Lonchura striata: one gene and its partner. The protein of the gene in region 1 interacts with the protein of each later gene in a biochemical or structural test. Links are inferred from orthologs where the notes say so. Each region holds a gene or a part of one and is shown in the gene's direction. Other genes may lie near its edges. The genes, in order: WASL and PFN1.

Region 1 (8,090 bases):
GCTTACAGGAAGGAATAAATATTCCCTTTAATACCTGCAAATAAAACAAGAGTAACTTATTTACTCCACTCATGGTTATTGCTGAGTGTAAAATTCAAGAAGTCATACCTTTACTGAGTTATAAACCAAGAAAAGAGAATAAAGAGTGTTTTAAAAAACTGTGCCATACAGTTTTGAAGATGAGCTCTAATGCAAGGTTAGATGCTACCTGAGCTGGGGAAAAAAAATGTTTTCCTCTAATTTGCAGAGCAGCTATAGAAGTGTTGCATAGTTGCTGCAGGCAATGATCAATAAGTAAGAGGAGAGGGAGACATCTCAAATTCCAGTATGTTTTTGGTCCATCTTCCTCACAGTTTTGAAAAAGAGAGCAATATAATCTGATGTTTCAGGCCACAAAGGAATTGCTGAGGAGCTCCTGAAAAGAGCTAGATATCCTCATAATTCGAAAGTACAATTCTATGTCCAAAGCAAAACCAATCTTATCCTTTATTGAGTAAACTGGAAGGGCACAAATTACTTTTATTTAAGTAAGTAGTCTGATGTCAAAAATGAGGGCAAGAAAAAAAACAAATGACATACACAATGGGCACTACAGGAAAAGTTCTAGCTGGCACCTAAGGCAGAATTCGTGCAAGAAATGAAAGAACTTATTGTACCACAGCACTGGTTCTCAGGCTGCAGCCTGCTCACTCTTGCGGCAAGGACACTCTGCTGCACAGCCTGCCCACCAAGGGGGAAGCTGCTTCCTACTGACACACTTCCACATCCACATGGAATCAGCAGAGGCTTTACTGACCAATTAATAAAACTTAACCATCATCTTTGGCAACTTTTATTGCTAAATTGTCGTTCTGTTATTGACATCTACAGCATACAAATTCAATATAGAGAAAATAAAACACCATAGGAGTTCCAGACTATTCCTCATCTGAAACAGATAATGCAAAATTTTTGAGAAAGGAAATACAGTGACTGAATTTGAAATGAACCCTAACTTAATAGATGATTCAGTTACCTGTAGGGGGTACTTCCCAGGGCTGCAATTCCTCAACTTCAAAGGCTCAGAACACAAAGAGCAGAAATGAATGAGGCCATTATCAGTAAAATAACTAATATGTTATTTGACATTTATTTAACAACAGTGCAAACCCAATCCTCTTCAATGGGGTCTACGTTAAGAAAAATATTATTTACCCGAAGAAGAGAACTCGTGTCTTCACAGCTGCAAACGCACTTCCAATCACAAAGACAGTTCCTCATTTTCAGTTACCAGAAGCTGTTTTGCAGTGAGGAGACTGGTGTTTTCTACAGGCCCAACCAAAAAGGGTATTGAGGGAAAGGCAGCTTGCTTCACTTTTGTCCATTCCCAGGCTACCCTATTGACATACCCCTCCTGCATGGTCACAGTAATCCTATGTTCTCACTCCTGATCTCCCCCAGCCCTGCTCTTGTGGTTGCTGCAGCAAGGTTTGCACTTTTCCCAGACCATCCTACTTGTCACTGCAAATAACATGAGATGGAAGAGATGGCAGGAATTTTTTTTTTTTTCCCATGGAAAGGCATATTCTCTGTTACCCTTGCTTGTTCTTTGGTGTAATTAACTGTCTCTTTATTTTATGGAAAACCAGAAAACCAAACCATGACCTAAAACCATTACTGTGACAAGATCAAGACTTGGGAAATGCAGTGATTCTACTAAAAAATAAATACTTGGAAAACAATTTTTTTTTCACTTATATAGTTCAGTCATTAATAAAATCTTCAATGTATGATTCATAGTACTAGAAAAATTAACTTTAGGTAGCAAGTTTTCCTCACATTCTTACTCCATCTTAAATTGTAGAATGTTACTTCTGAAATCGTGTGAATATTTAAACTGTGAAACTCAAAGTATGAACTATTACAGTAGAGGTTCACATTTAAAGACAAAATTCAATTTTCTGTCAAAGGTAACTCTGACAAGGATAATAAAATCTATTTATTAAATAACATATTTATAATACAGATCTTTGAAATCAAGACACTTATATTGACACACATTATGCAATTTCAAATGGATTTCAGTACCTTGGTGCTATGAACTGGTATCCTGAAATGAAAAAATATGAAAGAAGAGAAGCTTCCCAAGAAGCTCATAGACATCAGCAATAGGTAACACAATTTGGACCCTAAGTAGCACAGTGAAAAATCCAGAGGATAGCCTCCAATAAACAGCAATTGCCCTAAGTCAGCACGAGCACTCCTACATCTTCAAAACACAGACAGGTAACCCTATTCGGTGGCTTTCTTTGAGAGAACTTTGCTTCAAATTGGATATTTTATGCAGAAATAGCAGTTTTTTGCTGTAATTACTGCAAACATATATATTAAAGGTAAAAATCTATTTTTCAGTGAATCCTATGGATGTATCGACAGATATTGGTATTTCCCCTTCCCTTCAGGACTCGCTGCTTAGCTATGATATGAAAACAGAAACAGCTTTTGAATAATTAATGAAACACAGGGACTGAAAATAGACCTATTTTCTTCCCTTTCCTGCCTCCCCTTATTAAAAAAACAAACAAAATCCTAACAATAAAGCCTGAAGGTTAAAAGGCCCTTAAGAATAACTACCAGCCAGCTGGTCTCAAAAGAACAGTATGAAGCAAAATGCATCAGTTGTAACACCCAGGCAGTATGGCAAGATCTACACAGGAACATCCAAAGTTTTTAGAGAGAAAAAAATAATCAAGGAATACAAGTGATTAGAAGATAAGGACAATACCAGCATATACCCATTGACAGTGTACTATATTTGTTATTTACACCACAAGCAAGGAAGGCATGTAAATTTCCCAAAAATGGCTTCAGCTAGACAATAATTATTTAGTTTATGAAATAAAAGAAACAAACAAAAAAACCTCAGAAAAATAAAACCCACAAAAAAACCCACAAAACACTGTCTTGTAAAATGCTTTCAAGTGTTTTACCTTTTTACATACATTTGCAATGAAAGAAACACTGCCAATATTTTATAGCTTAAGCATTTCCCACTAAAATACATACAGACTTACACAGAAAGTGTGTACTTTACAGAAAGTATGTAAAACTGAAGAATCTAGGATTGCTGATAAATGCTTTAGAAGCACTTGGTTCCTACTGGTCTTCCTTTACAGTAAGACTAGAGTCACTTTTGAGAGGCCTGCAGATTGAGGAGTCCTGTATATGCACACATTTCAAACTATTTTATGGTGTAAAATCAGGATTTTCTTCCATATTCTCCCTTCCTTACACTTTTAGACACAGTTACAAGCTCTTAAGTACAGACAAAAGGGCCTGTAAGTAGAGCAGAAGGGGCTGCCATCTTCTCCCTGCCTGATCTTTAGGAAGATACGAAGTCACCACAGCATCATATAAAAACTTGTGTTCCCAGCTTTTTCTCCTCTCTTCCCTGGTTTGTTTCCTCTTGTACTTCTTCAGTTCTTCTGTACAATGTATAGCAATTACAGTGGGGGACCTTCCCCCTTTCACCTAGCACCTCCCACACAATTAATTGATCAGAGAATGAGACACACTCTTCACCTAAAACCACAGAAAACTAGCAAGGTGCTGCTCACTTTGATATCTGTTTTCCACCTTTGCACATGAGAAACGAGAACATTACTTTTGTTCAGCTGAAAGCTGAGTATAAGCAGCACTGCTTTGGGTCTTTGGGTTTTGAAATGTCTTCAACCTTCACCGCAGCTGGTTACCGCTGCCACATGGAGAGAAGCAGGGGGAAGAGAAACGTGGCTGACAAAGGCTGTTGATTGTAGACATGATTTCTCCTCACGGCTGGCCCCTGGAGAGCGCGAAGTGCCTACTGTTCGCCCCAGCCTGCGGCGGGCAGCTTGGCCGGCGGGGTGACAGCCGCGCCCGCCTCCCCAATGGCTGCGCACAGCCACACCCGGCCGGGCAACCTGCGCGGGCAGCAGCGTCCTTTCTGCCAAAAAACCAGAAAAGACTTTGGGTTACAAATTACACCAGGCTCCACTAACAGCTGAAGGGCTTCCAGCACACGCCGGTTCCCGCATCCCCGCGGGCAGGAGATATTGTGGGGCCCCTTCAGCTCGGGGCGATTCTCCCATGGACCCGAGCTCCCCACGAGCCCAGCCCGGAGCCCCGAGCGGCACTGCCCTCCACGGCGCCCCGGCGGTTCCCACGGCCCCGGGACAGCGACCGCGCCTCCTTTCCGTCACCTTCTCGTCGTTCTTTCTCCCGGCTCCCATCACGCCTCTCCTCCCGCCCCCGCCGGCACCGCCCGCCCGGCAGGTACCGAGGGGGCGGGCGCGGAAGGCGACGCCTTCCCCCCCCCCCTCCCCCCGCACGGCGCATGGTCGCGGCGGCCGCGCGCCGGGCTCCCCCTTGGCTGCCGCGCGCCGTGGTCTCGCCCGCCCCCGCTGCCATGTTGGATCGCGCGGCCGCCGGGGCCGGGCCGGAGTTGGAAGTTTAGGGGCGGGAGCGATCGGGAGCGGCCCCGGCGCGGAGCGGCTCCGGCGCGGCGCTACCGCCGCCCGGCACCCCTTTCCCGACCGCCCCCCTCCCCGCACCCTCCCCGCCGCCCCTCTTCTCCTCCCTCCTTCCCCGGCCCCGCGAGGGAGGCTCCGCGATGCGGCTGCTGTGAGGCCCCGGCGGCGGCGGCGGAGGAGGAAGGGGAGGAAGGGGCCGCGGGCGCCATCGGTCGCAGGGCGGCGAGGGCAGCGCCGGGCCGGCCCCGGCCATGAGCGGCGCCCCGCAGCAGCAGCCCCAGCGGCGGGTCACTAACGTGGGCTCGCTGCTGCTCACCCCGCAGGAGAACGAGAGCCTCTTCGGCTTCCTCGGCAAGAAATGCGTGGTAAGTCCGGCCGGGGGGAGAGGGGACTGGGGCACCCTCGGCCGCCCCACCGGGGCGCGGCGGGCCGGGGCCCGGGGCGGGCGGGGGCGTGTGAGGACAGCCCGGCCGGGCGCTGGGAAGTTGCGGCTGCGGAAGTTTGATCCTGCTCCCCTGCTCCGTCCCGGCGTCGGGAGGGGGGCGGCCCTCGCAGGCCTGGCTGCCCGCTCGGCTGGCCCGCAGCGCCGGGCGGGGAGCGATGAACGGCGGCGGCCCCTCGGCCGGCCCGCTCCGGCGGGGCTGCCGGCCCTGAGCGCCGGGCCCGGCCTCCCTTCCAAGGCAGGCGGCTCCGAGACCGCCTCGGGCGGCGGTGTGAGCGCGTCCTTCCGCGCCTCGCTGTCCACCGGCGAATGGAGCTGCCGGGGCCGGCGGGACTCCCGCTGCCCTGCAGCCGACCCAGCGCTGCAGGGGAAGCCCGCCGCAAAGGAACGGCCGCCGGGTCGGGGGCGTAAAAGTTCCATTGCTCGACGAGGCTGGGACGGACCTCAGGTGCTCCACCGGTGCAACAAAGCAGTGTTGGACGAAGTTGTAGGAAGACTCGTATCGGTGCTAGGCCTACTTTGGATTTAGTCTGTACTTTTCTTAGCCTAAACAAGAAGTCCGTGTACTCAAATCCCGCATATTTTCCCATTTCTCTATCAGTAAGTTTTGCTTTAGAATACCTTCTTGCATGTAGTGTAAAACTGTACTAAAACTACTTTTCTGTATTAAAGAGCTATTTGAAAACTTCAAAAGATAACTACTTTCACTGGAAAAGAAGCTCCTTTTTTAAAAAAATCGTATTTTTCAAAGCAATTACTATTCTGGTGCATTTTGTCCAGTATTTAAAATACTGTTGGGCACTTGCTGTAAAGCTATGGTGGGTGTTTAATGAACTTAAAACTGACTTAAAGCAGGATATCCGTGCAGTCGTACTGATTCCACGTAACTCTGGACTTTGAAATAGTATTGTTGATCATACTGCTGCGAGGAAAACATAAGATGCAGCAACGGAACAGGAAGTAGAGAATATTTACATTGGGGTGGGTTAGATAAGATGCTGTCACAGTAATTTGAGTTATGTGTCAGAAGGTATGACCGTAAAGTATATGTTTTGAAAAGTAGAGAATTGTGGAAATGTCTCAGTTAATTTCAGGAAACATTCCATATCTTCAGCTTGTTTGCTAAGAAAGAAAAAAAAACAGTATCAACTTCTCTCTAAATATAAAAAAAATAGTGCATTAATTTGTGTGTAAATTGATTTTCAGTTTGCTTTGCTATAACTTGATTTTTTTCTTGTCAGGTGAACACTGACAAGTGTTATACTCAGCTGTAAAACTCACCTAGTTAAGCTCCCAACTTTTCTGCATAAATAGTATGTTGAAAGCAGGCTAGAGGTAAATATCTTCACAGGATCTGGGTGTCATGGGATTTACAGCTTGCTTGAAGTTACACATTCTTCTGATCTACACTGAATATTGGATGACTTTCCAGTTGAGGTTCTTAAAATTGTGGTCTGTTGTTTCCTCTTGTCCCCAGCCCATTGTGCTCTCTGAGTTAATAATAGGCTTATTTTAGTACAGTTGAGGTTCTCCGCTCAATCTTGAGGACTTGAGCATTTAAGATCTAAAGGTATTTAACCAGGCTTTTTTGGCTTACTGTGTGGCATGAGCCAGAAATTCAGAAACAAGTGAACAGATTGAATATGCTGCCCCTTGGAGGGCATTGTCTTAAGCAAAGCAGGAATGAGAACCTGGAGATGGTAACAGCCTCGGCTGTCTAACTTGAAACCACAGTATCTCTTGGAGCCCAAGAGGACTCATGGTATTCTTGACCTTCCAGCTTGACTCAACATGCTGTGCTGATAAATGCCTTTTTGCTGTAATGTTCATGATATTTGATCTCATAACACCCATGTTTGAATTACTAATTAGTAAAGTGTCAGACTGTAAGTGCTGTTTTTTAAGAAAGGAAAATTTAAGTTCTGTAGAATGCTAAATGCTTGCTCTTGCAATCACCCTAAATATCTGGGCTGCCTTGATGCTGCAGATGGAGTTTCTGTCACTGTGGGGCATAGAGAATCTACTGGATGTAATGTGTATCAGCCACGTTGACATAATTTTAGGTTTTGTTTGATTAAACCTCTCGTTTAGATTACTACTGCAATGAACACTAGCGAAAGTTGAGGCATGAAATTCTGCTTTTAAGATACTCTTTGTAGTAATAATTTATAGAGCTCTTAATGAGCACCATAGTGCTGCTATCAGGCCTGAAGGGCTTAGTTAAGAAAGCATGTGGTGCTCTGAATCTGATTTATTTCAGTCTTTCCTTTGTTTCTGACTGGTAACAAGGCAGCTATTTTGAAATAACATTGAGGATTCAACTATATGATTTTTGTTCTATGGAAGAGCAAAGGAATTTATCAAGTAGTATAACTTCAATTGAGTACTCACAGTCTGCGAACTTGGAAATGGACATAGTTCCAATGGCATCTTAAGTAATGATACCTGATAGAAAAATTTCCTGTGAGTGGGGGAAATGGTGAAGAGCTGTCGCTCTGTGTTGCTGAGGTTGATACCATTCTGCAGACTACTGCTGGTACTTTGAGAAACTCACTAGTAGGCAAGTGTACATACAGAGGGTAATTGATTTTTTTTCTCTACTCTTTTGTTTTTCCCTCCACTTGCTGAGCTGTAAAATGTTTATCTGAATCTATAAGCAATTAAAATACCTTTGCCCATGACAGATCAGGATTTCAAAACCAAGCCACTGGCTAATAGTCAAAACTGTAGCTATAGTTAATTTGGCTGAAGTATGAATCCAGATATAGAACTATTTACAGAATGTATCTACCATAAAGCCCTTTAGGACTCCCATTTTTTAGGCATGTAACTAATTTTCGTTCAGGTGTGTGACCTTTGTTATCTAGGTAAAGTGTAAAATTTGCCACCTGTAAAAAGTTTTCAATAACTTTTTAATAATAATGTGGAAATAAAATTTTATGTATACTTATACTAAGTGGAGCTATGAGATTAGTTCTGTGCATATTAATGATTTTTGTGGTCATGCCCAACTTAAAAGTTTTGCAGAAGTTCTGGTTAGTTACTAATCATTACTTTAAATAATTATGTGTTTTGTAAGAAAAAGTAAATGCTAGGTGTCCATTTTATAATCTGTAGTAAAGAAGTAACTTTTATAATTTGCATGATTAATATTGGTCAGA
Region 2 (7,984 bases), on another chromosome or scaffold:
CCCCTCCCCTGCAGGAGCTGGCGGCACAGCAGGAGGAAGCGGAGCTTGAGCGCGGTCCCACCCCCCCGGGGCCCCCCAACGACTACAAGGACAAATACCGGCACCTGATCGGCTCCGACGCCGCCAAGGCCGCCGCCCGCACCATGGAGGCCAACAAGGCGTACGGCTGCGGTGAGCAGGGGGTCCCGCGGGGCTGCTGAGCCTCAGCCCAAAACCTGGGCTGTCCTCGGGGCGCTGGGGGGGTCCTGAGGGCGGTCACCAGCTGGATCTCTCCTGTGCCCCCCCAGTGCCGGTGGCCAACAAGCGGGACACGCGCTCCATCGAAGAGGCCATGAACGAGATCCGGGCCAAGAAGCGGCTGCGGCAGGCGGAGGACGAGGGCGGGGCCGGGGGGGGTGCCGGGGGGCCCGGTGTGTGATGGGGGTGGTGGGGGGGGTACCCCCGGGGGTATTTAACAGCGGGGGGAGGGTGGCGGGGATGCAGAGGGGGTGATAAACCTCCTCATCTCCTCTCCTGGTCCCCATGTCTCTTTTTGGGGGATGGTTGGGGTGAGGGGGGCACCCCCACGTCCCACATTGTGTGTGCGTGCGTCCCGCTCCCCAGACAAAGGAGCTCGGGAGCTCCTGGTACTTTGCAGAGCTTACTGGGGGTGCGGGCAGCCCTCTGGTGGGGGTCCAGCGTGGGCCCTGCTGCTCTTCCCCCTCCTTCTTGGCCTTGGGGTTTGGGAATCTGCCCCCTCCCAACTTGGCTTTGTCCCCCAGCGTGTCCTCAATCCTGGGAGGGATGCGAGCTCAGTGGGGCGATGTGGGGGTGATTCAGGGGCCAGCAGACACAGGGGCTTTGGGGAAGACGGACAGCAGACGCGGGACACGCGGGACACGCCTGGGAGGTGACACGGGGACATGAGCTTGCACGAGGGCTGTGCGTGAGGTTTTCACACAAGGCCTCTTCCCGAGGAGCCTTTTCCCAAGGGTTTGCATGAGGATTTGCCGTGCACTCACACCCGAGTGGACGCAGAGAGCCCAGTGCTTTCAGAGATTTGCAGGAGGGTTTGCACAGACTCAGCCTGGATGGATTCAGTGGTCGGGATTTTCACAGCGGTGTGTGTGAGTTTGTGTGCGCAGTCACACCTGGCAGCCTCTGCTGCGGCAGGTTTTCCCTGCACCCACAGCAGGATGGACTCCGTGACGAGGGAGTTACCCAGGGGTTTGCGAGGGGTCACTTGAGGATCAGACCTGCGTGGACTCGGTGCTGGGAGCTGCACGGGGAGCTGCACGAGGATTCAGAGCGCTCACCCAGGTGGACTCGGCGATGGGTCTGATCTGGTGGACCTCGAGCAGGAGGCAGTTGTGTGCCCACAGCCGTGGCCGCCTGTGCGGTGCCCTTCGGGTCGGTCACTGCCAGGCCATAGCCCAGCACCTGGATGCCCACCTGTGCCAGGCATCACTTCCAGCTTTCCAGTGATCTCTGCTGTGGGGAAACAGCGAGCAGTGTGCAGTAGATGCAGCAATGTGGCCCAGTCCCCTGGGGGGTAGCAGAGGGATGGTGACCACCCTGCCGGCCCTGGGCACAGCCTTGTATGAGCTGTCAGTGTCCCCAGCTGCCCTCCCCGTGCCTCCCAGTCTGCTCCAGTTCACCCCGATGCCCTGCAGCACCTCCTGGTCCTCAGTGTCACTCTCCTGCTTCCCAGTCCCCTCCCAGTGCCTCCCAGTTCCATCAAAGTCCCTCCCAGTTTCATCCCAGTGCACACCAGGAGAGTCCTTGACGAAGCTCTGGTGGGGCTGTCCCCCTGTGATGAGGCGCTTGGGGTCCAGGGGGGGATTTGAAGCCCAGGTTGGATTTGCCCTTGCGGCAGAACTCAGAGGTTGCCACGTCCATCCCAATGACCACCTTGTCCAGTCCCCAGCCTGCTTTCAGAACCTCCCACGTCCATCCCAATGACCGCCTTGTCCAGTCCCCAGCCTGCTTTCAGAAGCTCCCACGTCCATCCCAATGACCACCTTGTCCAGTCCCCAGCCTGCTTTCAGAACCTCCCACGTCCATCCCAATGACCACCTTGTCCAGTCCCCAGCCTGCTTTCAGAACCTCCCACGTCCATCCCAATGACCACCTTGTCCAGTCCCCAGCCTGCTTTCAGAAGCTCCAGTGCTGGAAGTGCACACAGGGAGTTGGGCCTAAATCCCCCCAGAATCCCCAAATCTCCCTGAACCCCCACCCCGGCTGAGACAGACCTGGGGTGTCCAGGCCCCAAATCCCTCCTGATCCCCCAAATCCCTCCCGAGACCCCCATACACGAACACGCTCAGCGCTGACCCTTGGCCAAGGGGACCTGGGCATCCAGGCCCCAAGACCACCCCCTCCAAATTGCTCTCCCACCATGGGCAGATGGACCCTGATGTTTGGGTGCCCCCTCCACCTTCTGCCCTTTCCTACCCTTCCCCCACTGCCCCATAACTTTTCTCCAATTACCAGAAATTCACGATGTGACCCCAGAACCCAACCCCATCCTGGGGACCGTCACTGCCTGCCCTGGGACCCTCCATGTCCCCGGCACTCCTGATACGTTTCACCACAACCCTGAGCTTCCTCCAAGTCCCTGCACACCCCTGTGACACCGCCCCCCACCCCAGCATCCCCCTCCAAGCCCCTGGCTGTAAACAAATCCACCTCCAGTGTCAGATTCCCATGGGAATCCAGGATCTCCTGGGCTGTGATCTCTTCGGGATGGACGTGGCTGTGGGATAGGAAACCTAAGGGTCAAGGCCAAGATCCTGGGGGTCCCAGCCTGACCCCGGACTCCGCAGAGCTCCCATGGGGAGAACCCCCAAGTCCAGGTGCCGGGAGCTGGCCCTGTGTCCCCCCCATCCCATGGGGGACCCTGAGCGAGCCCAGACCCCCCTCCCCAATACCCAGGACACTCAGAGGGGCCCAGGTGGGTCCGGGCCCTTCTCACCCAGTGCTGCCCCTGCCCAGGGCCCTGCCCTGCCCCCTCCCCCCGGGATTATTTATCCCTTCCCCTTCGCCCCTCCCTCCTGGAGGGACCGTGGTCACAGTCAGCCCCCCCTGGGGTCACCGGGGTGGGGCCACAGCAGCCCGGGGCTGGTGGCACTTGGCGATGGTCCCTAAGCGTCCCCCCCGGGATTGGGACCATTGTTAGCCCCCCTCAAGGGTCACTATAACACGACCCCCAAGCGGCGGGGCTGGAGCGCCGCCTGAAGGCCCTGGGGGGAACAGCAGCAGCCACAAGGGGAGGGGGCGAACGGGGAAGGGGGGGACACGATTTTGGGGGTGCAGAGGGTCCTTTGTGGGGGGAGTTCAGCCCCTAAGGAGTACCGGGGTGGGGGAGGGGGGAACTCAGCCCCATGGGCCCCACAGCGTGGGGGAGGGGCGGTGGCTTTGACCACTTCCCGGGGAAGTTCTCGCCGGGGGGGGGGGGGACGGGGCCGGTCCTTTTATGGGGGGGTGGGTGAACGGGCACCCTCAGGAGGCCTCGACCCCCCCCACCCCCAACCCAGTCTGGGGGTCCCGGCACCCTCGGCGCCCCGAGGGGGGAGATGGTGCCGAACGCCTCGGCCCGCCCCTTCCCCGTTCTCGACCGCCGAGCCCCTCCCCCACCCCGGGGCAGGAAGTGAAACCGCTGCCCTTCCCCCCTCCCCCCGGAAAGTCCCGCCTGAGTCAAACCGCGACCCGCGGGGGGGAGGGCGAGGGTCCTGCACCCCCAGACACCCACCGAGCTGTCACCCCCCCAGCCACCCCCGCTCGGGGCGCACCGCGGGCCCAGCGCGGGGCGGGGTGTCGCGATAACGGCGTGTATCAGGAGAACCGGGAATCACAATACACAGCGAGAAGGAGCAATAACGAGGGATTCGTTATCAGTCCAGGGGTGTCACGATACCCGTGAGGGTGTCGCGATAGCGGGGGGGAGTCGGGATAACGGGGAAGAGGGGGCACAACAAAGAGTAGGGGTTGAGGTGATGGGGAGGGTCCGAATAATGGAAGCGAGCGTCGCTACACGGAGGGAGTGTTTGAATTTGGATGCGTCGTGATAATCGCGGGACGCAGAGTACGAAGGGTTTGGATTGAGGGCGGCAAGTAAGGGAAGGGTTCCCAGTAAACGGGAGCGCGGCCATCGCAGTAACGGCGGGGCTGGAACAGCGCAGTGGGAGGAGGGTGTCCGGATAACGAGGGAAGGGTCGCAATAACAAACGCCCCCTTCCCCCCAAAACCGCCGCGCGCCCTCCCGGGGCCGGGCGCGCCGGCGGCCCCGGCCCCGCCCCGGCCCCGCCCCGGCCGCGCCCCCGGCCCCGCCCCCGGCCGTCCCCTATGAAAACCGCCGCGCGGCGCCGCCGCCGCTCCTCCGCCGCCGCCGCGCCTCGGTCGCACCGCGCAGGCGCCGCACGAAAAGCCCGCCCCCTCCCCGGCGAAGCCCCGCCCCCCGCGGAAGGCCGCGCCCCCGCGCCCCGCCCGCCCGCCCGCCGCCGCCATGAGCGGGTGGGCGCCCTACGTGGAGACGCTGCTGGCGGACGGCACCTGCCAGGATGCCGCGATCGTCGGCTATCGCGACACCCCCGCCGTCTGGGCCGCCGCCCCCGGCAAGACCTTCGCCAATATCACGGTGAGAGGCCGGGGCTGGCGGGGCTGGGGGGGGGCAGCGCGCCGAGGCGTTTCCCGCCCAAGCGCGCGGAGGGCGGGGGGACCCGGCGGCCTCTGAGAGGCGGGGCCGCCCCCCCCCACCCTCCCGCGACGGGCTCCGGGAAGGACAAAAAAGGGAGAAAAACGCAAAAGCGCCAGCGTGGAGCGCGGCGGGGGGGCGCGGGCGCTGCCCGTGCCCCAGACCCGGTGCCGGGGGAGGGCCGGTGCTGGGGGGGGCCCGGAGGCGGGGGGGGCCCGGCGGCGAGGCGGTCCCCTCCTTAACCCCGCTTCGAGCGTTTTGGGGGGTCGCGGGCGGGCGGGGAAGGGGGGGAAGGGCGAGCACCACGTGTTTCGGCGAGCTCCGTCCCGGCTGCGCATCGCTTTTATTGCACTCCCCTCAGTGGATGGCGGGGGTCTCGGGGGTGGGGGAGCGGAGGAACCCCTCCCCACTTAAAAACCCTCTAAAAATGCGCGGAATGCGGCCACTTCCCGGTGGAGGAGGGGCGGCCGGGGCTTCCTGTGGGGGAGGGGCGGCGCGCGCGCACCCCCTCCCCCCTCCCCACTTCCCCCCACGGAAATGGTGGGGAGGGGGGAAGTTTGGGGAAGCCCGTGGTGGGAAAGGGGTCCTGCCGGAGCCCTGGTCCCTGTCTGGGGGCACGGAGAAGTTACGGGGGTCCCCCGAGGGGCTGCGATGGGGTTCCTTGGGGTCCCCGGGCGTGAGGTCCCCATGCGGTGCTCTGGGCTAAATGTGGTTTGGGGTTTGCTTGAGGAGTCCTTCCTGGGGTTCCTGACCTGTTCTCCCCCGTGGCAGCTGGTGGAAGCGTTGGCCCTGGAGGGTCCCGAGTTTGAGGCGGGGTCATGGGGATCCCTGGATTCTCGGGTGCTCTTGTGGGGACCCCTCGGGGCTCAGGGTTCTCCCGTGGGGACCCTGGCGGGAGTCATGGGGGTTCCGGGACACCTAGGTCCCTTTTATGGTCATGGAGTGGGAGTTATGAGAGTCCCGGTTTGCCGGGTGCCCTACAGGGGCCCTACCTGGGGGTTTGGCATCTGCATTTGGTTTTGGTGGTCCCTGGGTGTGGGCCTTTGGGGTCCCCTTGGCCTGTCCCCACCCCTGTCCAGCCTGCAAAAGCGACAGGCCTTGAGCAGGGGGAGTTACCCCTGCAATCCCCACACAGCCGCACTTCTCACGGGTGGGCTTTGGGGGTCTGGGGTCTGTTGATGGGCTGACCCTTGTACCCACAGCCAGCAGAGGTGGCGGCACTGGTGGGCCCCGAGCGGGGGCCGCTGCTGGTGCAGGGGCTGACGCTGGGGGGGCTGCGCTGCTCCGTCATCCGAGACTCGCTGCTGGTGGAGGGCGAGCACAGCATGGACCTGCGCACCAAGGGGGCTGCCGGAGCGCCCACCTTCAACATCACGGCTGCCATCACCAACAAGAGTGAGGGACCCCCTGCCACCCCTACCCCACAGCCCGTGTTGTCCCCATCGCCCCCCCAGCACACCCCCTGCCATCCCGTCCCGTGTGACCTCCCACCTTCCAAATCGCCAACAAGAGGAATCTCCCTCTGGGAAGACCCTGTCACCCTGTGGCACTGCCCCTGTCACCCTGTGGCACCCCCTGCCCCCCTCCCTGTCACCCTGTGGCACCTGCTGACCAGTTCCTGTCACCACATATGACCCCAAGCCTCCACAGGTGCCTCCCATGTATCTTACGGCATCACAGTGTCGCCCTCCACCTTCCCCAGTGTTACCCTGTGTCCTCTCCCCCACACGGCCACGTCACCTGCCCTGTCACCTGTATCGCCCCTGACCTGCTTCCCGTTAAGTGTCCCCCCTGCCCCTTGACCCAGGTCCCCACAAATTACCCCTTGCTAACTCCTGGTGTCCCTTCATCCCAGCTCCTGCCCCGCTGCCCCCGTGTCTGTCTGGGGTTTGTGGGGCTTGGTGGGGGTTTTGGGAGGCTCGGAGATGACCCCCACACCTTCTTCCCCTACCCCTGCAGCCATCGTGCTGGCCATGGGCAAGGAGGGCGTCCACGGCGGCTGCGTCAACAAGAAATGTTATGAGATGGCCAATCACCTGCGGCGCAGCCAGTACTGAGGGGGCTGGGGGGGACCCCCGGACCCCCAGGGACCAGCAGGAGCCGCCAGGGACCAGCAGGACCCCGTCCCCCACCCCCTTGTCTGCCCCTGATCCCCGCTGCCGGCAGCAATAAAGTGCCCTTGTGGGGAGTCGCTGTGGGTCAGGGATTTCGGGGATCTGGGTGCTTTGGGGGGAACCTCGACATGCGGCAGGGCCGTGGGGTGCGGCTCCGTCCTCCACCCAGGGCGGAGGAGGCTGCCCCGGATACCGGGTCCAAGGGTGCTGCCGTGCCCCAGGGGAACAAAGTCCACGGTGGGGCGGGGGTGACGCCTCGGCAGCCGCCCCACGGCGCTCCCCCTCCCACCCCCCGACTCAGGAGACAAAGTTGGGGGGCAGAGGCTTTATTGGAGGGCTGCACTCATGGGGGAGGCGGGGAGAGGTCAGCTGGGAGTCCAGGCAGCAGCAGGGGGGGACGGTGGGATGGAACAGGCATGCTGGGGGGAACAGAAGGAGAATTGGGGGGCAGGAGCTCCTCTAGATATTCTGGCGAGCTGTGAGGCAGGGCCCCAGGTGTTCGGGGGGGTGGTGTGAGGCAGAGATGGGGACTGGGGAGGTGGTGGGACGGGTTGATGTGGGGCAGAGGTGCAAATGTGGGGGATGGGGTGGGGCACAGGGAGATGGCGGGGCTGATGTGGGGTGAAGAAGGTGGTGTAGGGCAGCGATGGGGATGTGGGAAGGTGATGTGGGGTTGCGGGGGAGATGTGCGGCTGGAGCAGGAGTCCGGACAGGCGGAAGCAGCTTCGGTGCCGTCAGTCGAGTCCTTATAAGGGCAATGTGGTGGCTCTGGCGCTTCCTGTTCCCCCCCCTGCACAACCCCCGGCTGACTCACGGAAAGGGGGAAGGGCCCCGCAGTTGCCCCACGGCAGGGATTGGGGTATCAGGGGTTGGGCCGTGGGGGGAGATGGGAGTGTCCCCCCTGCCCCCCTCACCCAGCATGGATGGACTCAGGTGTTGGGGTCCTCTGCGTGCCTTTGCCCCTGCCATGAGGCAACCCCCATGGCCGTGAGGTTGTGGCACACCATCACTCACCTGTGGAGCCGTGGCACTCCTACATCCTGTGGGACAGTTGTCCCCTCCCGCTCCGTGTCCAGGTAGGTGATCCTGTCACCTGTGACACCTGTAGGATGCTGTCACCTGCGTCATCCCTGACACCGTGTACACCTCAGGGGTACCCCAAAACTGAGGGGGCTGGAGAGGAGGGACAGGGGAGGGG

Evidence for each region.
Region 2: the proteins of WASL (region 1) and PFN1 form a complex in vitro, tested with the Homo sapiens proteins (2 studies listed by BioGRID). The link is inferred for Lonchura striata from reciprocal best matches to the Homo sapiens genes WASL and PFN1.

What each region holds. Positions count from the first base shown.
Region 1 is NC_134607.1:31,747,478-31,755,567, forward strand, and holds the start of WASL (actin nucleation-promoting factor WASL), read left to right. Parts: upstream 1-4,660; 5' UTR 4,661-4,738; coding exon 4,739-4,852; intron 4,853-8,090. UniProt on the Homo sapiens protein: Regulates actin polymerization by stimulating the actin-nucleating activity of the Arp2/3 complex. Involved in various processes, such as mitosis and cytokinesis, via its role in the regulation of actin polymerization.
Region 2 is NC_134636.1:1,310,755-1,318,738, reverse strand, and holds PFN1 (profilin-1), read left to right. Parts: upstream 1-4,466; 5' UTR 4,467-4,483; coding exon 4,484-4,615; intron 4,616-5,874; coding exon 5,875-6,067; intron 6,068-6,631; coding exon 6,632-6,729; 3' UTR 6,730-6,860; downstream 6,861-7,984. Other genes in the region: SPAG7 (sperm-associated antigen 7), read left to right, coding at 15-171, 288-418. UniProt on the Homo sapiens protein: Binds to actin and affects the structure of the cytoskeleton. At high concentrations, profilin prevents the polymerization of actin, whereas it enhances it at low concentrations. By binding to PIP2, it inhibits the formation of IP3 and DG.